7 linked regions of the Mus musculus genome follow. The protein of the gene in region 4 interacts with the protein of the main gene of each other region in a biochemical or structural test. Links are inferred from orthologs where the notes say so. Each region holds a gene or a part of one and is shown on either strand. Other genes may lie near its edges. The genes, in order: Prkd1, Ets1, Sp1, Jun, Pml, Crebbp and Mapk8.

Region 1 (3,500 bases), on a different chromosome or scaffold from region 4:
ATGCTCACAGAAATATCTTCTGGAAATGCATGTTTAAAAAACAGACAAGAAATAGTTAAAGTATATTTTTAAAGACCCCAGTGGGCCATATTTACTATATTTACATTAATCACAGCAATTAGGTATTTCTACAAAATTTCTATTAAAATATATTAGCTCCCTTAACATTACAAACTCTGTAATTTGTTTTTAAATATTTATTTGTCAGCATAGAGCTCGGGTTAAATTATGCAGCCATTCTGTTAGCTAATAGACAACCAACTTTCTAGAAATTGTTTCTGTTTGAATGTAGACAAATCATTAAGGAATGGGGTTTTAGGAGTTAAAGTAGAGGCCTCTGGTTAAGTGCTTAGTTTACATACAGATACATTCCTTGTGGTCAAAATAAGTGTATCCTATTAATATACTGAGAAAAAATATAATTATGACAGATAAAATATACTATAATGTTAAAACAGGTTAATCTTCAGGTTGCATGATTTGTGATAGAATTTCAGATCATAATTTCATAAAGGTACTCCTCTATTTTTTTAAGATCCACCTCAATATTTCATCTTGCTTCTACTCTAGCTGAATCTATTTGACTAGTGCACCGAAAGTTCTTCCTGGGATAAAGTGATCAAGCAGCAACAACAGTCATAGACCATGGGTAGAAAAGGAGGAGGGATTTGTAGCAAATAGATTTTTTTTCATATTTGTGTCATTCCAAGTGAAGCTCAAACTGACTGAATGGTGTCTTTTAGGAACAATAGCTGTGGGCACCTGTGGTCGTATAGTATATAGGTTATACTTGACTTTATAAAAGCTCTAATATAAAATAAGTATAACAATTTAATACATATTTCAGTAAGCATAGCAGCTTCCCTTCAGAGATTCCATGTTCTGCCACAAACTGAAGCCAGCACGGGGAGTCTTTCTTTATCATCTCTTTGGGGAAAGCAGCAGGTCTCTTACTGGACCATCAGGAGCCTGAGCCATGCCAGACTGAAGCCAATGGACTCACTGTGTGAGTTGGATCCGGAGCCAACAGAGGAGCCCTTGGGGATGACGGGCATAAGAGCATGCTGGATGGCCACCTCCCACATCCTGGCCACATCCGGACCGATGCCACTGGGGAGAACACTGTTGTTTGGTGGGGAACTTGATGGGTTAACCACGTTTTCTCCCACATAATACACTACATTCGCTGTAGTGATTTCAAAACAATGAGGAGTCGCTCCAACGGGAGTTAAAGCTGAAGGTTTTGCTGGTTCCAGACATAATATTTCTGATAAAGGAATTTCCTATGGAAGACAAAGAATGGTAAATGTGGTTAACCAAAATCATGCCGATTATTAAATGAGAAAGGAAGTTACAAAATACAGAAAATATTTTCAAATATATATAACACGCATAAAATGTAGTTTTCTATAATGAGGCCTTATAACCTGCATAAAATGTAATTTTCTATAATGAGGCCTTATCACACTCTCTGAAAAATTTCTTCTCTCCATCTTTCCACCCTCCCTCACTCTCTCTCTCACACATACTGATCCAGTGGCAGATGGAAGAATCTAAAAAGCTTTGAAGCAAATTATAACATCTTTAAAAATGTATTAGGATACTCATGGCTGTTTTGTATTTCAACTGTTTCTTCATCTCAGTCAAACATATTTTGATTCTATATATGCTAATACAGCATAGTTACATAGAGGAATGTTCACTGAGAAAAACCACAGCAATTAGTTTACAATGAAGTTTTGTTTTTAAATCACGTGTGCCTGTACAACTAGTACCTATCTTTGAGATAGAATCTCTCACTAAACTCAGGCTCACTGATTGGCTCCAGAAATCTGCCTATTTCTGCTGTGTCTACATTAGGGTTATAAGACATATTAGACTATGCCTGGATTATTATTATTGATGATGATGATAACAATGATGATCATTGTCATTATGTGTTCTGAGAATTTAAACTCAGATCCCAGATCATCAAGCTTATGGGATAAGTAATTTATTGAATGATCCATCCTTCCTAACTCCCAAATTAGTTGTTTTTTTTTAATAGTCATTTAAGTATTAAAAACATGAGGTGCCATACTATACTGCAGGATGCATAAAGTAACTAAAGTAATAATTTTATTTTTTTTCAATTAAAAATCTAATAACCTTTTCTTGTGTGGTGTCATAGCTGTGTAACGGAGACCATGAAGTATCACAGGAACTGAGCTAGACACTACTTGTATATTATTTAATGTAGAAAGGCAGACGATTGCTGATAAATAAAGGGATACGATCCTCACATACACAGAGGAATGGATCTCCCTGTAACCAGTGCTGGCTTCCTGAGGATGTCAGATTTACTCGTAGTCTCGGGTTGTGGCCACCAACTCTCTATTGAAACCAAACCACTCAGCTACCCTGCTGCACTTAGCTTCCCCTCCGCTTCCTTCTCCAGCATCCGGCTCCCCAGAAGCCCCTGCGCCAGAAGCACGTTGTTGGCAATTGCGAGACACACAGATTAATCAAGATGTCACATCTGAACTCCTACAAAAACCGCATCCCGCCAATTAAAAGGTTTCTTTCGGGAGCCCAGGAATGGTCACACTGTTGGATGTGGACCAACTTCCCGATTTCCTTAAGGAACATTATGAGGCAAAACTGAAAGAAGCCAGCCTCACCTTGTAGTACCGGCTCCCTGTGTCATTTTGGAAGAGTGTTATGCATTTGCTGTCCAATCTCCAGTAGTGCCTTTTCCGCTGAAATGGAAGTTACACAACTTTAAAAATTCGAGCGCTTTATAAAAACAAGTGCAATTTCTCTGAGGGAACATGGATTTGATGGTGAAAAGTTTAAATTTAAAGGCAAAAACAACTTACAATTTAACTCAAGAAGCTATTTAATGAGCATAATGTGACGTGTTTTTGTACCTACTTCTAAGACTGTGAATTATAACCGAGATACTGGGTTAGCATCCTGGGAAGTACCTGAATTGACATTCATATGCACACAATGAATACCAAAATACACCCAATTTTTAAACATTTATTTGCTTAAAAAGCTAAAGGAGATTTTGTAGTCTACAAAACAACCCAGGGCTTAGTAGCAGCTAGATGGTTTGTCTGTGTTAATCTTTTAGACTGGCCCTGAGGACTCAGCTAAGCATCTTCACTTCTACTCTCCATAGAATGTTGAATGCTACATCACTAAATAAGTCTCATTAGATGGAAGGTTTGCCCTCATGGTTCCAAGTTTAGAGACTTATATCCAGCTGGCTCCTCAGCTCATCACTGTGACTTAATGACTGGGTTTTTCTCTCTTGGTACATCACCTTTGGGGGGATTCGTGCATTAGCATCTTTTCAGGAGCAAAGACTCAACTTTATGTTTGGTGTCTCTCACAGCCACTCTTAGACTAAACAAACATTAAATATACCTTAAATATTTTCCAACTGGTCCAAAAAGAAAGTTATAGAGTTCACTTGAGTCCTGAAATAAATTTTCTCTCCCATACGAAGGTGT
Region 2 (3,500 bases), on a different chromosome or scaffold from region 4:
CGGACACTTAAGTTTTTTTTTCCTCTGCAAGCCAGGTCCAACAGGCTTCTGAGAAGACCTCTCCCTTCTGAAAGTCTGCTCAGGAGCTATTGCCCCGCCCACCCCGCAGGTCCTGACCTCCTCTTTCCGGCCCACCAATGGCCAATGGAATACAGCGGCGCTCCCTCAGCTCCCACCCCTGAATGTGAAAAATGAGTTCTGGAAAATAAAACATTGAATAACAATTAAAAATGAAGAGTCCAACCAACAGGGTTGCTCTTTGAAAGGTCTCAGCAGGGTTCCCCCAGCCCCTTCCTTCTGCGCGTCTGTCCATGACTAGTCAGCATCCGGCTTTACATCCAGCATGGCGTGCAGCTCTTCAGGGGTGTATCCCAGCAGGCTCTGCAGGTCGCACACAAAGCGGTATACGTAGCGCTTGCCCGCCGTCTTGTGGATGATATTTTTGTCATAATAGTAGCGAAGGCCACGGCTCAGTTTCTCATAATTCATCTTAGGTTTGTTTTTCCTCTTTCCCCATCTCCTGGCCACCTGTAATAAAAATAAAATTAAATACAAGTGTCTATACAAGTCTTCACATCCATCATGGTGGTCAAACAAACATCATGTGTGTGTGTGTGTGTGTGTGTGTGTGTGTGTGTGTGTGTGTGTGTGTGTGTGCATATGTCTGACTTATTCCTTCATTTCCTTTTTTAAAAAATATTTTGAATTGTTTATAATAACTATACATTGAATGTATAGTTAGGAGCCATGGACATTCTGAGATTATTTCAAAAGATGTAGGCAGAACAATGCAACATTTTAATACAGCTGTGCATTGTGTCGTGATCAGACCAGGCTAAATGGCATGTCTTCAATCACAGGCATTTCCCATTACTTTCTGGGGACCATGCAAAATAACCCACATTAGCGATTCTGAAATACCTGCTAATGTTCTGTAGGCACCCTACAGTACCACAGAGATTCCAGAGTTGCCAATTCCTGTACCTGCATTCTTGGGCTCATTAACCAGGGTCTCCCCAACCCCTTAGCCTCCTCCTGGCCATGCTCAGATACGTCACTCTTTTATCCTCTGTGTCTGTGGAATCAGCAATTCAGTGTCTACATGTAAGCGAGAATATGTGCTGTCTTTCTGAGCCCAGAGTATTCCTCTCAATAGGACAATGTCCCTATCCCATACATGTGACTGCAATAGAACTTCTAATTTCAAGTGTCCAAGTGTTGAGTTCCATTTACTTGTTCAAACAGTGACTCTGAACTCCTCTGGAATACAGTTAAAACACTTGGTCTTGAAGGAAAAGGAAGAGCCGTGGGGCAGACATCCCTCTGGCCCACATTATAAGCAGGCATCCTTAAAATGAAAGCACAGAACTGGGCAGAAGGGAGAGGATGGGAGGAGAGCGCTGGCACCTCTGCTTCCACCAGTAGGAAGCATCCTTTCTGGACCAGGGTAGAGACACGTTCTCATGTCTGCCAGAAGAGAGATCTCTTCGTTCATATACCAACCATTTATTCAACACTCTGGGATGAAAGGATGGAAAACGATCAGAGTGGATGCATCTTTCCAGATGCACAGAGCCAGGGACTAGACAGAGGGCAGGACCAACTCTGTACCAGGAACTTATATATACATCAGTTTGTCCCAGAAAGTGTACACACTTTGGGCTCTGCCAATGATGAGACAGAAGCTCGGGCTGGCTGCATCATAGGTCGCACACGCAGCAAGCAGCAGAGCTGAGCTAGAAATCTGGGCCTACAGGATCACAATCCCAGCATTTTCTCTCGCCCATTCTCAGCCCAGGACTCCCAAGTCACTCATTACATACCTCATCTGGGTCAGAAAGCTTGAATTCCCAGCCATCTCCTGTCCAGCTGATAAAGGACTGACAAGACTTATCAGTGAGTAATTCCAGAAGAAACTGCCACAGCTGGATCGGCCCACTTCCTGGAAGCACAAGGCACAGTGGCTCATTAACAAAACACACTGAAGGCTCACAGCAGCTAGGCCCACTAGGCAGCAACCCTCACCAGCCTCCCAGCCTGTCTAGACAGGCGAAAACTCAGGCAAGCGACAGCACAAACACTGGAGTCAGTACTCTGCGTTCAGAGAAAGTAAAGATTTCCCTTCCAAAAGAAAAAGGAAATCACACAGGATGATACACCATGTGTCTGTTTTTATTAATTTCCAGGTTGGTCTCTTTTAATTGCTGTGCTCTTTTAATTCCAGAGTTTTCTGGAAAGACAACACCAAGTCTATCTTCACACGTGTTCTACGGAATTACTAATCTTGTTTGTTTGTTTGTTTGTTTGTTCTGAGATGACTCACTACAGAGAACTGGCTGGCCCGGAACTTGTAGACCAGGTTGGCCTAAAACTCAGAGATCCACCTGCCTATGTCTCCCTGGTGCCAAAGGAGTTTAGTCTCTCCTCAGCACACATAAGCTTTGTGAAGTAAAGGAGCCAGCTCTTCCTTACCACAATGAGAATATACCTCCAGCTCTGTGAAGCCATCTTGCAAAACACATTGTGAAAATAAAAGCACTCAGCAAGTGCCTTCTAAGCAAACGACCTAGAGGGCTGTAAAGCCTTCACTCCCGTCACATCTACCCATCTGTAAAATAATCCACTTAGTGTACAACTCAAATACGTGTTCAGATTTCTTGGGAGTCCAGGTAAGTTAGCAGCTGCTCTGAGCTCAGGAAGCTAAAGATGGCAAATGAGAGACTCACTGAGAAGCCATTCTTGGTGACCCGGGAGCAAACCTCTCTTGAGAAACGGACTATATAAGAGCTCCGGTGTCAACTCTTAAGTTTCCTGATGATGCTCAGTAATCTCACACATCCCTGACAGAGAGACACAGAAAAGATGACCTGAGTCCTATGTGCACTCTGTATTAACACTACAGACCTCAAATATGAGAAGATTGCTAACAAAAAACTAAGGGGAGCTGCTACACACTCCCTTAGCTACACATCAATCACTGTGGCCTTAGCTACACATCAACGCTTTCTCTCTGCTTGTGAATTCTCAGTGACTCAACGGGATAGATACTGTTATTAGTCTATCGGTTCCTACCGTGCAGGAAAACAACAACAAAACCACAATGTACAACACAGCTATCTAACTTGGGTGAAGGCAATCAGAAGAGAAACAGGATAGCTGGGTCAAGACTTCAGATTCTTCAATACACTGCCCAAACCAAAAGCCAAGGGCCTAATTAGATTCCCTGCCTGGTTGCCGTAACTCGAGTGCTAAATGGTTCTAGCTTTCAGAAGCCATCTCCCTTGCTTCTCACGTAGTCACACTCTTGAGATACACATGGCCTACTATGCTGGGTACCTATCCCAACAAGTGACAGTGCCAGCCCCAGAAGGCCCCCTGAAGTGGCTAAGTTTTATACTATTAGAACCTCTCTCGTACTGTCTTAAAATTTTCTCTTAGAGCAAGGCTAACCTATTAAGATTAGGAGAGGGATGGAAAGATGAAAAGACCCAGACAGGTCC
Region 3 (3,294 bases), on a different chromosome or scaffold from region 4:
TCAGATAACTTATCCAAAGGCTTATAGTCCTCAGCATCTCGAAGCCGGCTTGTAACTAATCACCTCATACTGAACAAGATTCTATTTCTTGAAATTTTCTAGCAAAATACTGCACACTCCACTGAGTTATCCTGCCCTCTTCCTCCAGAGATGCAAAGTACATGATTATAAATGTAAAATAACACGGTTTGTTTGAGTTCTGCTTTTCTTTAGGAATAAAAGGTGTGATGGTGGCTGAGGACAGATAACTTTTACGTCAACATTAATAACATGTGATTTGGGGACAGTCCCTTGAAATATTTCCTGAGTCTTGATAACAGTATTAAGTCTGCATAGAAAGGACCAAATGGAATAAACTAATGTTAGTATTTCAAGCTAACAATACCATAAACTTATCAAGAACCTAGTTTAGATGGAATTTACATAAAATGTATAATAACACTATAATCTATTTGTAGCCAAGATAGAGAAGTTAGAATAAGGAATCCACTATAGATTTGGATGTTGATTTCATTTTCAAACACAAAAATAGTTTCTTCTTTAGAAAGTGCACTAGGATATCCCCCCAACCCCATAACTGTTAACCGATTTAGCATAAGCAGAGAACTGACCTTAGGAACATACCCAAGTTTTATGACCAATTTCTAGATACTGGACCTGAAAGGCGTTTTGATCTGAATTTATTTTCCAACAATTTCAAATATAAGTTCTCATCTGCATGTAGATATATACAGGCACAAATACATTCACACGCAGTCATACAAAAACAATTTAGTTTCTCTATCAGATCAGGGTAATTTTTTATTGCAGGTCTCTTTAAATATTGGCTAACAGAAAACCTATCCCCAACCTAACAGATCTCACACATACACTCAACCACTCCCATACTTCCTCACAGTGAAAAGCTCTCTGACAAGATAGCACAAGGTCTAGAGAGACAATGCTTTAATGGCTGGGCCTTGAGGACAATTCTGGTTGCATTTAAGTCTCAGTGCCAAACGCACTGAGTTTCCCTGCCGATAAAATGTTTGGATCAGTCTCTTCTGGAATCAGGCCATAGAGAAAGCAGGATAATTTCTCCCAGTTTCTCCTATAATCCACAGTGGTAAGACAAGATTTCTTTTTGTTCTGGGCTATCGTTCCCATGATTGTGTGCTTCCCTTTCCCTTAGGAACCACCCAAGTATATCTAAGGAAGAGTTAAGGGGGACTTTTTTTTTTTTTTAAAGAACCACTTTTGCCACTGGCACAAGTTTTGCACTCTACAGGATGGAAAATCCAAACAGGTTCACTGGCTGATGCTCCTTAACATTAAAACAGTAATAGGAAGGAACTACAGAAATGTTCAAAAGAGGAAGTGTACTTCCTTTCAGAGTGTGAACTCAGAAGCCCATACATTGAGGCTTATAGCTATTTGGAAGACAATGATACTGAAATCCGAATAATTCCACTAACTTCTGAACCCAAGACTAAGAGTTATTTCCTTTTCTGAGAACATCTTTTTCATACTGAAAGCTGCTGCCTACTATTTGACCATTTTGGAAGTATATCTCCTTCAAAGGGCCTCTTGTACAATTCCACAGAAAGACTTCTGATTTCTGATGTTTAGAACAGCTAAAAAAGGGAGATGGTTTTGACTCTCCAGCACTAAGGTGCTTGCGTCAGTAGTATTTTGAACACTCCCTCCATAGCTACTTCAAGCATCAGACTATACTTCAGGCTTTTCCACTCTGTTGCTGGAACTAAAGTCTTTAAAATATTAACACAAGTGCCTAATCCAGGAATCACTGTCAAAAACAACACAGGAAGTGATCGTGTGAGGAAAGGGAGACAAGGATTAAGTCAGGAAAGGAGTGCAAGGAGCTGATCCCAAATAAAATAACAAAATTAAGAAAGAAGACACATTATATATGTATATATGAACTAAAAGCAGAAAGTATGAATGCTTACTCTGGTGGGATGCCAGGACAACATTTATAAGGAAAGCTTGATGTGTCATGATAAGGCTCAGCCATTGAGAAATAAGGCAATTTTTTTAAAAAAAAGAAAAGAAAAGAAAAGAAAAAAAGACCAAGGTATTTTGGTCACAGAATGGTCTTTTTCCTCCTCCCAGCCAGCCCCTGTGAAAGCATCTCTATATATTTTTTAATATATATATATATATATAATATAGAATCTGTTTTTGTTAAAAAGTATTTCAATGATCATATATATTTATCAAGGCATGATGGCTTTAGGAAAAGGGGGGGGGAATCCATCATGGGAGAGCTAAGAGGGAAAAACAGGAAGAGGAGGCTGGGGTAAGAAGTGTAAGAAGAACCTGGGATGAGATAAATGCTGATCAAAGGGTGGCACCAACAGAATTTTCACTAATATTTTCCATTTTCAAGGAGTCACCAGTGACATTGGGTGCCACAATCCCATCTCTTTTTTTTGTACCATCTCCCAATTCTTCCTACCACCAAGCACATTAATGCCTCATGGCTCTCTCTTCCAGATGTCTCTTGGACCCATGCTACCTTGCATCCCGGGCTTAGTGGGTATTGGCCCATATGTCTCTGGCACTGGGTGTCTAATCTTAGAAACCATTGCCACTGATATTAATGGACTGCAGCTCTGTCACCTGCATGACGTTGATGCCACTGTTGGCAAGACGGGCAATACCCTCTGGACAGATGGCCTCCATGGCTACCATATTGGTGGTAATAAGGGCTGAAGGAGTGGCAGTGCCTTCTGAACCTGCCCCACTGTCCAGGGGCAATGTGCCCACACTCAGGGCTACACCTGGGCCTCCCTTCTTGTTCTGGTGAGTCTTGATATGCTTTGACAGGTGATCACTCCTCATGAAACGCTTAGGGCACTCAGGGCAGGCAAATTTCTTCTCTCCTAGTTTAAAAAAAAAAAAAAAAAAGATAAATTAGCCAAAAAGCAGTCAGAACAAAGTTGAGGTTGATGTGTATCCTTCTGGACTAATTCAAGTACTCTTGGAGACACGCTTAGTTTCACATATACATTGTTTAGGAATTTCAGTTTGCTTCATGGGCATATCATTTCTTTTTTCTTTTCTTTTTATGGTTTTAGAGCTTTATTATAGAAAGACAGAAAGAGAGAAGGTAGAAAGAGAGAGGACTGCCATGGCCAAGTGGAGAAAGGAGGGAAGGGAGGGGGAGAGCTGGAGATGAGAATAAGAGAGGTGAGAGCTTATGAGCTCATTTCTTTCTTTCTTTCTTCTTTTTTTTTTAAAGATTTATCTATTTTATTCATGAATACATTGTAGCTGTCTGAAGAGGGCATT
Region 4 (4,127 bases):
CATTCGCTCTACTTCTAGATGAGACCAATAAAGCTCAGAGAAGTTCTGAGATTTGCCCTTATGCCCTGGGAGAACCAAGCTTGCCACCTCTTTAGTCCTGAGGGGTGGAGGGTGGAGGGCTGATAGCAGAACCTTAGAAAAGAAATAACTTACATGTGTCTAGCGCTTCCTAGAGGCCGCACAGGATATGACTCCACCAGTGAGCGGGGAGGGGAGTTTTCAGCCTGTTTCTACCAGGGACTCCTGCTTAAGCACCGTGACTTGGGGCGAGTCCGCAGCTCTCAAGGCTTGTTTTCCCAGAAGCAAATCAGGGAGGGAGGAAGGGCGGGCGCAGACTGAGTGTGCGCGGGACCGTGTGTATGTGCTAGCGCAGGCGATCGCCGAGGTTTCCTGAGTTTCGAACCTTTATATGTTGCTTTCGACACCCCATGGGCGCTGGGCTAGCATCTTTCACACCTAGAGGAGGGGTCCCTCGGAGGCAAAGCGAACACCCCTCCCCCGGCACGTCCAGAGAATAAAGTGTTGTGCCGGGGACCCTGATGAGTCGGTTCCGAACACCGCAAATCTCTGGTTTCCAGGTACAGCACACTGCGGCGCAGATCCTTCTCCGAAACTAAACTTCCAAGCATACTCATCTTGGAGGGCTACTCTCAAACCCGCTCAACTTCAACGCACTTACGTGCTCCCACACCCAGGGCGCACACAACCCTTTTAACCCGCATCGCTCTGTCCCCCGGAAGTGCGGGGGTGCGGAGCCAGCTTCAGTCACTCAGATCATTCAGCCCTTTCTCGGGCGTGCGTGCGTGTGTGTGTGTGTGTGTGTGCCCGCGCGCGGGCGCGCGCCTGTGTGCAACCTTCACTCCCACCCAAGCTCTCCGCCCCCGGCCACTAGCGCGCCTCCCCTGCTTTCTGGATCCCCGCGTCTCGGTCCCAGTCCCCAGCCCTGAACTTGAGCCCGCCTCCGACAGACTCCGCAAGGGTCCTGCCGACCGGCAGCCTCCGTCACTAGACAGCCAAACCAAGACGTCAGCCCACAATGCACCGGGCGGGCCGGGAAAGACGCGCCGGGGAGGGAACCCGGGAACACAAGCCGAAGCTGAGCGCGGGAGGGGGGGGGGGGAGGAGGAGAAAGAAGGGCCCAACTGTAGGAGCGCAGCGGAGCATTACCTCATCCCGTGAGCCTTCGCGGGCCCAGAGAAGAATCTTCTAGGGTGAGGTCTCCATGGCGACGGGTGGGCCCGCCCCCCTGAGAACGACGCAAGCCAATGGGAAAGCCTCGGGGTGACATCATGGGCTATTTTTAGGGATTGACTGGTAGCAGATAAGTGTTGAGCTCAGGCTGGATAAGGACTCAGAGTTGCACTGAGTGTGGCAGAGACAGCCTGGCAGGAGAGCGCTCAGGCAGACAGACAGACAGACGGACGGACTTGGCCAACCCGGTCGGCCGCGGACTCCGGACTGTTCATCCGTTTGTCTTCATTTTCTCACCAACTGCTTGGATCCAGCGCCCGCGGCTCCTGCACCGGTATTTTGGGGAGCATTTGGAGAGTCCCTTCTCCCGCCTTCCACGGAGAAGAAGCTCACAAGTCCGGGCGCTGCTGACAGCATCGAGAGCGGCTCCCGACCGCGCGAGGAAATAGGCGAGCGGCTACCGGCCAGCAACTTTCCTGACCCAGAGGACCGGTAACAAGTGGCCGGGAGCGAACTTTTGCAAATCTCTTCTGCGCCTTAAGGCTGCCACCGAGACTGTAAAGAAAAGGGAGAAGAGGAACCTATACTCATACCAGTTCGCACAGGCGGCTGAAGTTGGGCGAGCGCTAGCCGCGGCTGCCTAGCGTCCCCCTCCCCCTCACAGCGGAGGAGGGGACAGTTGTCGGAGGCCGGGCGGCAGAGCCCGATCGCGGGCTTCCACCGAGAATTCCGTGACGACTGGTCAGCACCGCCGGAGAGCCGCTGTTGCTGGGACTGGTCTGCGGGCTCCAAGGAACCGCTGCTCCCCGAGAGCGCTCCGTGAGTGACCGCGACTTTTCAAAGCTCGGCATCGCGCGGGAGCCTACCAACGTGAGTGCTAGCGGAGTCTTAACCCTGCGCTCCCTGGAGCGAACTGGGGAGGAGGGCTCAGGGGGAAGCACTGCCGTCTGGAGCGCACGCTCCTAAACAAACTTTGTTACAGAAGCGGGGACGCGCGGGTATCCCCCCGCTTCCCGGCGCGCTGTTGCGGCCCCGAAACTTCTGCGCACAGCCCAGGCTAACCCCGCGTGAAGTGACGGACCGTTCTATGACTGCAAAGATGGAAACGACCTTCTACGACGATGCCCTCAACGCCTCGTTCCTCCAGTCCGAGAGCGGTGCCTACGGCTACAGTAACCCTAAGATCCTAAAACAGAGCATGACCTTGAACCTGGCCGACCCGGTGGGCAGTCTGAAGCCGCACCTCCGCGCCAAGAACTCGGACCTTCTCACGTCGCCCGACGTCGGGCTGCTCAAGCTGGCGTCGCCGGAGCTGGAGCGCCTGATCATCCAGTCCAGCAATGGGCACATCACCACTACACCGACCCCCACCCAGTTCTTGTGCCCCAAGAACGTGACCGACGAGCAGGAGGGCTTCGCCGAGGGCTTCGTGCGCGCCCTGGCTGAACTGCATAGCCAGAACACGCTTCCCAGTGTCACCTCCGCGGCACAGCCGGTCAGCGGGGCGGGCATGGTGGCTCCCGCGGTGGCCTCAGTAGCAGGCGCTGGCGGCGGTGGTGGCTACAGCGCCAGCCTGCACAGTGAGCCTCCGGTCTACGCCAACCTCAGCAACTTCAACCCGGGTGCGCTGAGCAGCGGCGGTGGGGCGCCCTCCTATGGCGCGGCCGGGCTGGCCTTTCCCTCGCAGCCGCAGCAGCAGCAGCAGCCGCCTCAGCCGCCGCACCACTTGCCCCAACAGATCCCGGTGCAGCACCCGCGGCTGCAAGCCCTGAAGGAAGAGCCGCAGACCGTGCCGGAGATGCCGGGAGAGACGCCGCCCCTGTCCCCTATCGACATGGAGTCTCAGGAGCGGATCAAGGCAGAGAGGAAGCGCATGAGGAACCGCATTGCCGCCTCCAAGTGCCGGAAAAGGAAGCTGGAGCGGATCGCTCGGCTAGAGGAAAAAGTGAAAACCTTGAAAGCGCAAAACTCCGAGCTGGCATCCACGGCCAACATGCTCAGGGAACAGGTGGCACAGCTTAAGCAGAAAGTCATGAACCACGTTAACAGTGGGTGCCAACTCATGCTAACGCAGCAGTTGCAAACGTTTTGAGAACAGACTGTCAGGGCTGAGGGGCAATGGAAGAAAAAAAATAACAGAGACAAACTTGAGAACTTGACTGGTTGCGACAGAGAAAAAAAAAGTGTCCGAGTACTGAAGCCAAGGGTACACAAGATGGACTGGGTTGCGACCTGACGGCGCCCCCAGTGTGCTGGAGTGGGAAGGACGTGGCGCGCCTGGCTTTGGCGTGGAGCCAGAGAGCAGCGGCCTATTGGCCGGCAGACTTTGCGGACGGGCTGTGCCCGCGCGCGACCAGAACGATGGACTTTTCGTTAACATTGACCAAGAACTGCATGGACCTAACATTCGATCTCATTCAGTATTAAAGGGGGGTGGGAGGGGTTACAAACTGCAATAGAGACTGTAGATTGCTTCTGTAGTGCTCCTTAACACAAAGCAGGGAGGGCTGGGAAGGGGGGGGAGGCTTGTAAGTGCCAGGCTAGACTGCAGATGAACTCCCCTGGCCTGCCTCTCTCAACTGTGTATGTACATATATATTTTTTTTTAATTTGATGAAAGCTGATTACTGTCAATAAACAGCTTCCTGCCTTTGTAAGTTATTCCATGTTTGTTTGTTTGGGTGTCCTGCCCAGTGTTTGTAAATAAGAGATTTGAAGCATTCTGAGTTTACCATTTGTAATAAAGTATATAATTTTTTTATGTTTTGTTTCTGAAAATTTCCAGAAAGGATATTTAAGAAAATACAATAAACTATTGAAAAGTAGCCCCCAACCTCTTTGCTGCATTATCCATAGATAATGATAGCTAGATGAAGTGACAGCTGAGTGCCCAATATACTAGGGTGAAAGCTGTGTCCCCTGTCTGATTGTAGGAA
Region 5 (3,966 bases), on a different chromosome or scaffold from region 4:
GGGTTGCGGTGGTTGGTATTGGAGCAGAAGATATTGGACTTGCGCGTACTGTCGAGGAAGCTGCTCACTGAATTGTCGCGGAGATCAGCCAGGGGCCGGGCCTCATGCTTGAGGTACCACTGGTGTGCTTCGAAGCACTTGCTGCAAATGAGCTGTTCACACTCGAAACACCAGAAGTCGGCCAAGCCTTTGCAGCGGGTGCACGCAGCCTGAGCATCCACGATCTGCCGGAACACCGCCAGGCGCCGCTGCAGGCTCTCGAAGAACACGTTATCCAGGGCCTCCCCATTAGCATCGGCCTGCCCAGGAGCCTTGCAGATGGGGCACTGCAGGCCAGGCGCCTCCAGGCATCCGGAGCACAGCGTGTGCAGGCAAGGCAGCAGTTTGGGGCACTTGGCTTGGGCCTGGCAGCTCGGGCAGCGCAGAAACTGAAATTCCTCCTGTATGGCTTGCTAGTGAACCAAGGAGAGAAGTGAGGCCTACAGAAAGCCCAGACGTCTTGTCCCCTCCACTGGCCGCCCATCCCTTCAGCTGGAGATTGGAGAGGGTAGGACCTCACATTCCATTCCTGGGAGTCATTGGATCATGTCCTGGCTTATCGGCACCCCAGTTCCTCATTTACTTCGAGCCTTGCAGCTCTCACTGCACAATTTACCGGGCACCCATCTGCTTATCATTAGACTCACTAGTAGGTCCTGAGATACAAGATAGGATAGATACATCTTTGCATTTAAGGGACTCAAGTTTGGAAAAGTATCAACTTCATATAAAGTGCTTAACACAATTGGCAGGATGACCCTCAAAAAGTTAGACTTAAACTACCGTATGACCAAGCTTCCACTTTCCATATATATACTCAAAAGAACTGGAAAAAATATCCAAGCATATAATTATATACTAATGTGCCTAGCAACACCCCCACAAAAGTCACAGTGACCCAAGTGTCCTTAGCACATGAACGCATGAACAAAATGTGTCTGCAAATGTAACAAAATAGTATTCACCCTGAAAGAGGAATGAAATCCTGATACATTCAACAACCTGGATGAACCTTGAAGACATGGTGAAATAATATGCCTGCCATAAAATTAGAAATATTGTGTAATTCCAGTCATGTCATATAAAATAATAATAGTTAGTTCATAGGTATAGAAGGTGGAGCTACTGTTCAAAGAGCTCAATACCATGGTGCCTGGCACATGAGAAATACCCATAAGTCTAATCCCAGCACTCAGGAGGCAGAGGCAGGCGATTTCGAGGCCAGCCTGGTTCACAAAGTGAGTTCCAGGACAGCCAGGGCTATACAGAGAAACCCTGTCTCGAAAAACCAAAAAAAAAAAAAAAAAGAGAGAGAGATTGAGAGAGAGAGAGAAGTACCCATAAATGTCAACTAGTATTTTTAATCCTTAGCTATATAATGCTAATAATAAAAAGTTAGGGCAATGTGACCTTATTTGTGTTTTTTGTGAAGGGAAAAATGAGTGAAGAATAATGGGATGGAGGTAGTTCCTTCCAGGGTGAGTATGGAAGGTTGAGGCAATACTCCCAGGAAGGCCATGAACTAGGCTTCCTTAGGAAAATGAGCTTGGTGGCGCATACATTAATCCCAGAGCTCAGAAGGCAGGCAGGTGGTTTCTATGAATTTGAGACCAGCCTGGCTTACAAAGCAAGCTCCAGCCCGGCCAAGGCTACAGAGTGAGACCCTGTGTTCCAAAAGATAAAATAAAATAAATCCCTAAACCTCATACACATAAAATAAATTGATGAAAATCAAAAGAGAAAGCAGCTGTGTGAATCCTGTTGGTCTTAGCAGGCACTTTGGTCTGAGCCAGGTTCTGTCTGTTTGTTTGTTTTGTTTTGAAACAGGTCTTGCTGTGATGCCCTCAGCGGTCTTGAACTCTCTTTGTGGCCTAGGCTGGCCTGGAACTTGTCATCCTCCCTCCAGCCCTACCATCCCAAGCACTATTGCTCCTGGGATGTGCAACCACAGCTGAAAAACGGGAAGTGTTGGTGTGGGGGTCAGGGAGGGCGACTATAGTTTTGCCAAGTCTGGGACATGCCTTTAGCTCCAGGCCAGAGCAAATAAGACTCCTGGCCAGGCCTTCCACAGGACTATAGTCTTTCATCTGAGGTAGGCGCTTCAGGCAAGGCTTCAGGGAGTAGGAGTTACAATCCAACTATCCCCAGTTACAATCCAACTCATCCCGGTTTTTTTTTTTTTTTTTTTAGACAGGGTTTCTCTGTGTAGCCCTGGCTGTCCTGGAACTCACTCTGTAGAGACCAGGCTGGCCTTGAACTCAGAAATCCACCTGCCTCTGCCTCCCAAGTGTTGGGATTAGAGGTGTGCCCCACACCGCCGGGCCCCTGTTCCTATTTTACTCTAGGCTATCAGTTCTACCTCTGCCCAGCCAGGAGGGTCAGGACCTTGGTGTCTCTTTAGGACACTAACCCATTAACTTACTTCTCTATAACGACCTTCTTCATCCTCAACTCCTCGACCAAAGTAAACGAATAAAAAAACCTAATAGCCCTACACCTTCTAACCCAGTAGTACCTCTGCAGGGCTTTGGCTGTGTTCATAGTCTTCGGAGGGTTCCTCTGGGGGAGGCATGGTGGGCGTGGGGGTCAGGGCAGAGTCCTGTTGTCGACAGGGAGATCCAGGGGGTGCAGGTACCTTCTGCACGGAAACTGGTTCAGTTTCCATTTCTTGATTAGGTCTGTGAAGGCGGGAAATGGGTCTCAGATCTGAGCCAGAAAACTGAGCGAGAGATTGCCCGAGGAGAGCCCGCCTCCCGAGAGGAAGTGAGACAGGGCTGGGCGGGTCTAGGGGCGGAGAGGCTGGTTCTATAATCTCCCTTCCAAAGTTAAGAGAAAGACTAGGGAGCTATGGAAGTAACTCTGGTAGAGTCAGAAAGGTTAACCAAACAAGCAAGTAAACAAGCCCGGCATGCGGGCATGGCTCATTAGCAGAACAAGGAAAGATCCGGCCACGTACGCAGCATGCACACCAGGAGAGAAACAGAGCTGACAGGCTTTTCCCTGTCTGTGAGCTATTGGACTCATTCCACAGCTATATGTCTTTCTAGTTAAAAGCCAGGTAGAGAAATAAACTCCTCTTTGAGAGAGCCTCCCAAGTGCACCCTAGTGGAGACTTCGACTCAGTACTGGGATGGGTTTGCCTGGAAAGGCATCCCTCAGCTGAGAATGGAGCATGAGATAGAAAATGACCAGGAATTCAGAGCTGCTCAGACATTTTAAAGAGAGACAAACACTTGGAAAGGAGTGGAGGTCTGAAACAGGAGAGCCAGTTTGGGAAGTAGTCAGGGCCATTTTCAGATTTAAGATGGGGCTCCTGCGAAGTGATACCAGAGAAGATGAGATGAATCATACGGTGAGAAATGGACCGATTCTACATATGATCTGAGAGTTGGTGAAGGGTTTCTTACAGCGTGTCAGCTGCGTCTCTTGAATGACCTTGAGGCAGGTGGCCTATGAGAAGTAACTGTGGGACACAGAGTTAGTTCTGAGTCAGTGGAAGGACCGTGGTGACAGAACAGCGTTGAATGGGTCTGATGACTGTGCATCGTACAGAGGTAGACAACAGGGAGGCAAGGGGAGAGCTGGCCAGCAGTGGTGAAGAAAACAAGAGATACAAAGTTAGCTTTTTGACCAAGAAAAAGCAATCCAGAAACTAGTGGGTGAGGAAAACACACACCTGCTGACACTCTCATTGGCCAGTGCCTTTGGCTTCTAACTTCAGTCTGTTCCCACCCACTTTTCTGGCCCCTATGTGCCTATTCTCTGTTCCTATGTGAAACTGATTAAAAGGGATGGTAACAGGTTCCTGCTTTTGTAAACTTAGAGTTGTGGTGAGATGGGTTCTAAAGGGAGACCCAACATCCTGGAGACTGTGGAGGCCATACATCTAAGCTGACCAGTATCCCTTGGCCTTTAAAATTAGCCCAT
Region 6 (3,500 bases), on a different chromosome or scaffold from region 4:
ACAGAGGAGGGAGTAGGGACTCTATTATCAATGCTGGCTGCTGCCTGAGAAAGCTGCAAAGAAATCACAGTCATTCACCTCTGTAAAGGAGAGCCATACATGTCCTCCCACCGCAGTCTGCTCATTATTCTTCTTTACAGCCTAAGTACTTAGTGTGAACACTGAAGGGCAGAGGCTCCCTGAGGAAGCTTAACAGTCAGTCACTGAGTGTCAGAAACACAATGACTGACTTCTTACCAAAAATGAAGAGCTGGACAAACAGAGTTTTCTAAATTCTGACATAAAATTATTTTCTCTCTGCTTTCAGACTGGATTATTTTACCATTATTTTTCTTCACTAACATTCCTATTTATGGAGAAAGGCAAATTATAAACTATTAAAAAAAGTATTTACAGAGAGGTCATGAAATAATGGCCCATATGAAGCATCTATCACAGGGTAGTGATGGTGGTGTAGTAAGCAAACACTCCACTACCATGTAACAGGCTCTAAGCAGTACATAAATTAATAAAGGAAGATTGAAAAATTAAATACAAGTATCTTAGAGGGCATAGGATGCAGCCAGTGGCAAAGTGCTTGCCTAGTGTTTACAAAGGCCTGGTTTGAAGTCAGGAAACATAAATAATTGGAGACAAAAACAAAGAGAGTAAGTATATGCCCTTATAGAGAAAGCAAATTAGTAATGTCATCTTTGCAACTGTTGAATGATTTTGTTATTCTACAAATATCCTAAGTATCTAAGAACAGAATTAATGCAAACCTGAGAGGAGGGGATCTGTTGTTTCATTATAAATAAAAAAAAAAAGTCATGTATTCTGAAAGAAGGCTGATTAGCCTGGACCTTTATAGTCTGGAGCGAAGCATGATAACTAAACCCACAGAACTAAGCACAAAAGCAGTCAAACCTCGACAGTATTACTCTAGAACAAAAACCAGGTAAAAGAATGGCAGCACACACAGTTCAATAGTTCTGTCCATGCTGTGACATACTGATGATTACTGACTTCTATAAACCACTCTGACCAAGGGAAACTGTAAGCCATACCTTTAGGGCCAATAATAGTGGGAACAAATCAGTTTACTACAATTTCACACACACACACACACACACACACACACACACACACACACACACACACACACACGAGTTTTTCGCACCAGAGCAATTTGCTATAGCATCCTGACAGACAGAATAGTCTTTTATTTTATATTTATAGATAAGAGTCTTACTTCCTAGCTCTGGCTGGCTTCAAGCTCACAAGATAAGCCTGCCAGTGCTTTGAGTGCCCGACAGACCATTCTTAAGGGACTCTGTACAAGTGTGACTTGATAAGGACAAAGAGGCTCACCGGTGTGCCAGGAGGCTGAGTATGCACAGGCGTTGGTTGCTGCTGTGATGACTGAGGAGTAGCCACAGATGGTGGCTGCACTGGGGTCTGAGGCTGTGGAGTCACCTGAGCCTGTGCTGCTGCCTGGACTGTAGGGGTACTCTGTGTTTGGGCAGCGCTGGGCACTGAGCCAGGAGTTGGGGTAGGAGTCTGCCCAGATGACACAGGAGTAGATGGCTGAGTGGGAGCTGCTGGCTGAGGAGGGGTCATTCCTGGTGCCGTTGGATGTTGGAGAGAGGGCATGCCAGCAGCTGTGGAAGCAGGAGGTGGAGTCGGGTGCAATGGTGACTGTGTCACTGGTGGGCAAGGCAGCTGGCTGGCCTGGGGTGCCAGCATGTTCAGAGGGTTAGGGAGAGCAGCTCCAGGTACCTGACCCTAAAAGAGATAGTAAGAATATATAAAAACTATTTTACCCAATTGAAACCATGAGGGACTTGTAGAAAAAAAAAATTATACTAGTTTCTTAACTAGTTCTGCTAGTTTCAGGAGGATATTGCATTTGTAAAACTTCAGACTAACCATTTATAGCATGCACCACACCATGTAATAAAATTAGCACTAAAATCCTTCTCATACTTTGACTTATAGAACTTCAATATCAGGTTACAATAGTCATGGCTTAGGCACATATTTACTTAGTTTACTAACTTCATGTTTTGCCACATCTACTTTTAACTTAGACCACAGAAAAAGGAGTTTTGTTTTGTTTTTTAAATAAGTTGAGACAGTAGAACATAGAGCACTGGGGAGACCCCTAACTTTAAAAAAAGAATCACAATGGCTGTTCCAGAGAGAAATTTGACCTAGGTACCACCAACAGTTTTATAGGATGACAACCACAAGGAGATTACACATTGTCTGTAACTACTTGTACACGGTTAAGAGCAGAGCTAAACAGTTACGAACGACTAGGAGTATGACTCTGGAAAGAGAACATATTTACTATCTGGCTGTTGAAACTACTGGTCACTGTGGCAAATGACTGAGATATAAAGAGTGTAGCCTGGGCTACATGGAGAGACTCTGGAAAGGGAATAGAGTTGGTTTCCTTATCTCTGTTCTAAAGAAATGAAATGATAGGGAAAATTAATCATCCCCGAGTAAACCTAATATATTCAACAACGCATTCAGCATCAGCTGAGTGTTTAAAAGGACAGGACTTTTATATTTTGAGAAAGATTTAGCCTATTTGAAATACTTTGTATGCAGCTGACACTTGATGCACTACCAAAGTGAGGGAAAGCAGTAAACTGGATGGGAACTCAGCTATGACTAAGTAACTGGAACATGCTCATGAGAAGAGTGCTATTCCCATGATTCTGACAGCTCTGTCACCCCAACACATAGTTAAGATACAAAAAACTAACCAAGTCACTAAAAGAAAATTCACCCCTTCTTAAAATTCCAGTATTTCTCAGAATGACGTTAATCTTAGATTTCTAAAGCACACAAACAGCAACCAAAATCCAAAGGTAAAAATATAAGAGTAACAAAACAAACTAACAAAAACCAAAACCAAACAAACAAAACCCCCACAACCACAATCCATTTTACTTTATGTGTGAAGTTTACCTAGAGGGAACAAGAAAAATTAAACACAAATTAAAAATTATAGGGCAAACGGGAAATGGAAAGATGTATATTCTAGAATTCTAGTTTCCATCAACTAAGACAGGATCATGTCACAAAGGCTGGGGCTATATAAATACTGGTTGACCAGGCTCCCTCAGTGAATGTACCTGTGAAACACCTGCCTGGGCTGCTGGTTGCCCCATGCCCACACTGTTCACACTCATTGCCCCACTGGATGATGGAAACTGGTTCTGTGGCAGAAACTGGTTCTGAGTAGGTGCCTGGGCCATAATGTTGTTGGCATGAGTGCCCATCATATTTGGAGGCTGAGGCATCCGTGAAGGAGAAATGGCCATCTATAAGACAAGAATCAGAAGTGTTAGGTCAGAGTCTTCAAGAGATCACAGTACAGTGGAGATCCAAAGCCTTACAAATCTAGTACACTTTGGTTTTAAAGACCACTACTTCCCAGGGACTCCCCAGTTCCTAGGCACTTTCTACAATTTCTCAAGTCAATGCTGAACTGTCTTCAGAATGGC
Region 7 (3,500 bases), on a different chromosome or scaffold from region 4:
AGTTCAAGGTATTTCTGTTTTGTTTTGTTTATATAGTATCCTTTGCTGGAGACCAGGCATGGATGGCACATACCTGTAATCCTAGTACTTGGGAGACTGAGGCAGGAAGATCACAAGTTTGATGCTAGTCTGGGATACACACATACTTCTATTTCAATATTCTTACAACTTTAAAAGCATTATCAAAAAGCTGAATACTAAGAACCAACCAACTACCTAACCAATAGATAGAAAATTTATTTTTCATCCGAACAGGAAATTATCAAAAAAATACAAATGGATAATAAATGTATGAAAAAAAATATCAACATTCCACATGTCATCAGGGACACACAAAAATAGTACCAAGATTCTATCCAACATCAATGGAAATGGCTACCATCTATCAAGAAAGCCAAAAGTAACAAACGCTGGTAAAGATGTGGGGGGAAAAAAAAGGAAGCTTCATACATATTAGAGTAAAAATGTAAATTATAATAGTCACTATAGAAATTACTGGTTCCTCAAAAAAACCCAAAAAGCAGAATTCCATTAAAGGCACCTAAGGCAGGCAATAGCAGAGCTATCTGCACACCCATTTCTATTGTGGTACTATCCACAGCAGTAAATACACTATTAGTGTAGATGGCCATCAACAAAAAAAAAAAGCACGGAGAAAATGTGGTAAGGTTGGGTACGGTGGCAGTCTTTAATCTCAGCACTCTAGAGGCACGCAGTGCTGGGGAAGTTTGGCATTAGTCTGCACTACATAGGGAGTTCCAGGCCAGCCAGGCAGACCTAGCTTTTTTGAGATCCTGTCTCTAACAACAACAACAACAACAACAACAACAACAACAACAAGTGGTTTATGTGTATGCAAATTAGTTTTAGCCAGCTATAAAGTAGAATGAAATTATGTCATTTGCCAGAAAAATGGATAGAACTAGAGATTATCAAGTTAAATAAAATAATTTTGACTCAGAAAGATAAATATTGCATGTTTTCTTTCCAATGTGGAACCTGGGTTTGACAATATAAATATACATGACACAAATACATACAAGGGCTGGTTAGGAGGTGAAAAGGGACCAGAGAGAAAATAAGGGAGGCCATGAGAGAGTAACAGGAGGTTGGCACGAACAATGTAGAGGTTATGTCCATATCTGAAGATGTTATAGTGAAACCTGTTACACTGTACACTGAAATAATAAAAAGCATATTTATGTATGACCATATTAATAAAATAGAAAAAAACTAGATCTGATGTTCAAAGATGATAAATTAAGCCACTCTACTGGTTAGAGTGGCTGTGGATCAATACTCTTGTATCATGCTGACAGAAGCAGAAACTACAATTTCTTTAATAAAAAATCAGGAAGTAACTAAAATTTAAAATTTGGTCCAGCATATAAGCTTTTTGGACTACTGTCTCAATTCTATGAAGTACGTGCACATAAACACATGGCCACAGTAACAGACTGTGTGAAGGTCCACCTTCAGTGCTTCTCACAAGGGAGCTGGATATGGACTGGGACACAAGCTTCCCTATAGCTCACCACCTGCCAGCTATTAAAGTGTGACGTTAGACCCAATAGGGTCTGTCATCTTCAAGATATATGGATACATCAACAAACAGGTGTGTACAGTACACTGAGAATACAAGCACCAGTCATCTTGTAGATGGGACACCCCAAACATGGCTGCTGGAACAAGGAAGAAAACACTAATGTGACTATAACTGAGGTACAAATTTTCAAAATTAAGGAAGGAAACTGACTTTCTACTTTTGTAAGACAAATAAACAAAACCTTACTACTAAACATAAGTTATGAAAACAGAAAGCAACACTAATTTCTGTAACATGAAGAAGTCACTATGGAAAGCCAGAGGCTCCCTCAGTGTCTGAGACTCCGGTGAGTGTTACCTTTCCACTCCTCTATTGTGTGCTCCCTCTCATCTAACTGCTTGTCCGGGATCTTTGGTGGTGGCTGAAAGACACAAGTCAGAACAACTGTTATAGTTTACTGGATGTATATATACAATTAATTATTTGAAATATCAGCTAGACATACAACTTGCAAAAAATGAATCATGAGACAAAGGTCAATCAGTTATCATTAACTTTAACTTTCTGGAGAGTAGTTCTGTAAGATTCCTTTCTAAGTAATAAGCTGTTTGTCTTTTTTCTTTTATCTCAAATTTTAAAATTGTCACATTCTACCTATATTTCAGAAATCTGTTCTGCTTTAAATACAAAACATTGTTTCTATCTAAGGATGCACCCACAGGCATCCTAGGCTCCTCTAATCAACTGTGAGTTCAACAGAGTGAGAAACAGTGGAGGTTCCTGGACGATGATGAGGGCTTGGACAGATGCTCATTAACCTAAAGTTTTCTTTAGGAAAACCTCGGCAAACACCAACACCGGTGATCTGTGCTGATTTTTACTTAAAATGACAAGTTCTCTCTGAAAGTATTTCAGTCCCAGCTCTAAGGTTGGAGTATGCTCTTCAAACATTGAGAAAGTAACTTACGGCTTCTGCTTCTGAAGGATCATACCAGACGTTGATGTATGGGTGCTGGAGAGCTTCATCTACGGAGATCCTTTTGGATGCATCTATTACTAGCATTTTGGATAACAAATCTCTTGCCTGACTGGCTGCAAAAATAATGATATTAATATACACCAGTTCATGAGATTATTCAACCATGCACATTAGGATTCTGAGATTACATTTATTTTAGAAAATTCATCTTTGCCAAGCATGTGGTGGTACATATGCTTGTAATTGCTAAGCGGAGGATGCGGAGACAAGAGGATAACAATTTCCAGATGAACTTGGTTTATATAAATTGAACCAAACCAAACTAAACCAAGACAAAACAAATCCTATGCTTTTAAAAAGATGCTTTTGTTATTTATTTTTATGAGTACTAAAAAAGATTTATTACAGGTTTTGTTTGTTTCATCTTTTGAGATAGGGTTTTCTCTGTGTAGCCTTGGCTATCCTGGACCTTGCTTTGTAACTATGCTAGCCTTGAGCTGTTCTCTGCCTCCCAAATGCTGAAATTAAAGGTGCTTACCATCACTTGATTTATTGCATTTTCCAGTTATGTGTATATGTGTGTACAGAGGGAAGGGGCAGGTGTATGTGTGCACATGAGTGCAGGTGCCCAGGGAGGCCAGAGAGGGCACTGGACACTCTGGAGCTGGATTTGGGAGTGGTTGTGAGCTGCCTCACATGGAGGGTAGGAATTGAACTTAGGTCCTCCACAAGAGCAGCAAATAATCTCTCTAGCCCCTGTTTTTTTGTTTTTCTTTTGTTTTGTGTTTTAAAGACCAGGTCATGCTATGTACCCTGGGCTAGCCTGGAACTTACTAGGTAGCTCAAGATTATCTCAAACTCCTAACAATCTATCAGACACAGCTTTCCAAGTGCTAGGATTACATTGGGAACCACCACACCTAAAGAATAATTTTTCTATAAAACCAGGGCACATACATGATTTATAAAATACAT

What was found.
Region 1: of the proteins of Jun (region 4) and Prkd1, one has a biochemical effect on the other in vitro, tested with the Homo sapiens proteins (2 studies listed by BioGRID). The link is inferred for Mus musculus from reciprocal best matches to the Homo sapiens genes JUN and PRKD1.
Region 2: the proteins of Jun (region 4) and Ets1 form a complex in vitro, tested with the Homo sapiens proteins (2 studies listed by BioGRID). The link is inferred for Mus musculus from reciprocal best matches to the Homo sapiens genes JUN and ETS1.
Region 3: the proteins of Jun (region 4) and Sp1 form a complex in vitro, tested with the Homo sapiens proteins (2 studies listed by BioGRID). The link is inferred for Mus musculus from reciprocal best matches to the Homo sapiens genes JUN and SP1.
Region 5: the proteins of Jun (region 4) and Pml form a complex in vitro, tested with the Homo sapiens proteins (2 studies listed by BioGRID). The link is inferred for Mus musculus from reciprocal best matches to the Homo sapiens genes JUN and PML.
Region 6: the proteins of Jun (region 4) and Crebbp form a complex in vitro, tested with the Homo sapiens proteins (4 studies listed by BioGRID, with this or other methods). The link is inferred for Mus musculus from reciprocal best matches to the Homo sapiens genes JUN and CREBBP.
Region 7: of the proteins of Jun (region 4) and Mapk8, one has a biochemical effect on the other in vitro, tested with the Homo sapiens proteins (76 studies listed by BioGRID and IntAct, with this or other methods). The link is inferred for Mus musculus from reciprocal best matches to the Homo sapiens genes JUN and MAPK8.

What each region holds. Positions count from the first base shown.
Region 1 is NC_000078.6:50,387,250-50,390,749, forward strand, and holds part of Prkd1 (serine/threonine-protein kinase D1), read right to left. Parts: intron 2,739-3,500; coding exon 2,661-2,738; intron 1,284-2,660; coding exon 1,004-1,283; intron 20-1,003; coding exon 1-19.
Region 2 is NC_000075.6:32,751,241-32,754,740, reverse strand, and holds part of Ets1 (protein C-ets-1), read right to left. Parts: intron 1,943-3,500; coding exon 1,824-1,942; intron 529-1,823; coding exon 316-528; 3' UTR 1-315. UniProt on the Homo sapiens protein: Transcription factor. Directly controls the expression of cytokine and chemokine genes in a wide variety of different cellular contexts. May control the differentiation, survival and proliferation of lymphoid cells.
Region 3 is NC_000081.6:102,430,316-102,433,609, reverse strand, and holds part of Sp1 (transcription factor Sp1), read right to left. Parts: intron 2,886-3,294; coding exon 2,578-2,885; 3' UTR 1-2,577. UniProt on the Homo sapiens protein: Transcription factor that can activate or repress transcription in response to physiological and pathological stimuli.
Region 4 is NC_000070.6:95,049,423-95,053,549, reverse strand, and holds the start of Jun (transcription factor AP-1), read left to right. Parts: upstream 1-1,327; 5' UTR 1,328-2,278; coding exon 2,279-3,283; 3' UTR 3,284-4,127. UniProt on the Homo sapiens protein: Transcription factor that recognizes and binds to the AP-1 consensus motif 5'-TGA[GC]TCA-3'.
Region 5 is NC_000075.6:58,246,987-58,250,952, forward strand, and holds the start of Pml (protein PML), read right to left. Parts: upstream 2,801-3,966; 5' UTR 2,705-2,800; coding exon 2,555-2,704; intron 453-2,554; coding exon 1-452.
Region 6 is NC_000082.6:4,115,905-4,119,404, forward strand, and holds part of Crebbp (histone lysine acetyltransferase CREBBP), read right to left. Parts: intron 3,318-3,500; coding exon 3,129-3,317; intron 1,765-3,128; coding exon 1,351-1,764; intron 54-1,350; coding exon 1-53. UniProt on the Homo sapiens protein: Acetylates histones, giving a specific tag for transcriptional activation. Mediates acetylation of histone H3 at 'Lys-18' and 'Lys-27' (H3K18ac and H3K27ac, respectively).
Region 7 is NC_000080.6:33,384,659-33,388,158, forward strand, and holds part of Mapk8 (mitogen-activated protein kinase 8), read right to left. Parts: intron 2,639-3,500; coding exon 2,514-2,638; intron 1,968-2,513; coding exon 1,904-1,967; intron 1-1,903. UniProt on the Homo sapiens protein: Serine/threonine-protein kinase involved in various processes such as cell proliferation, differentiation, migration, transformation and programmed cell death.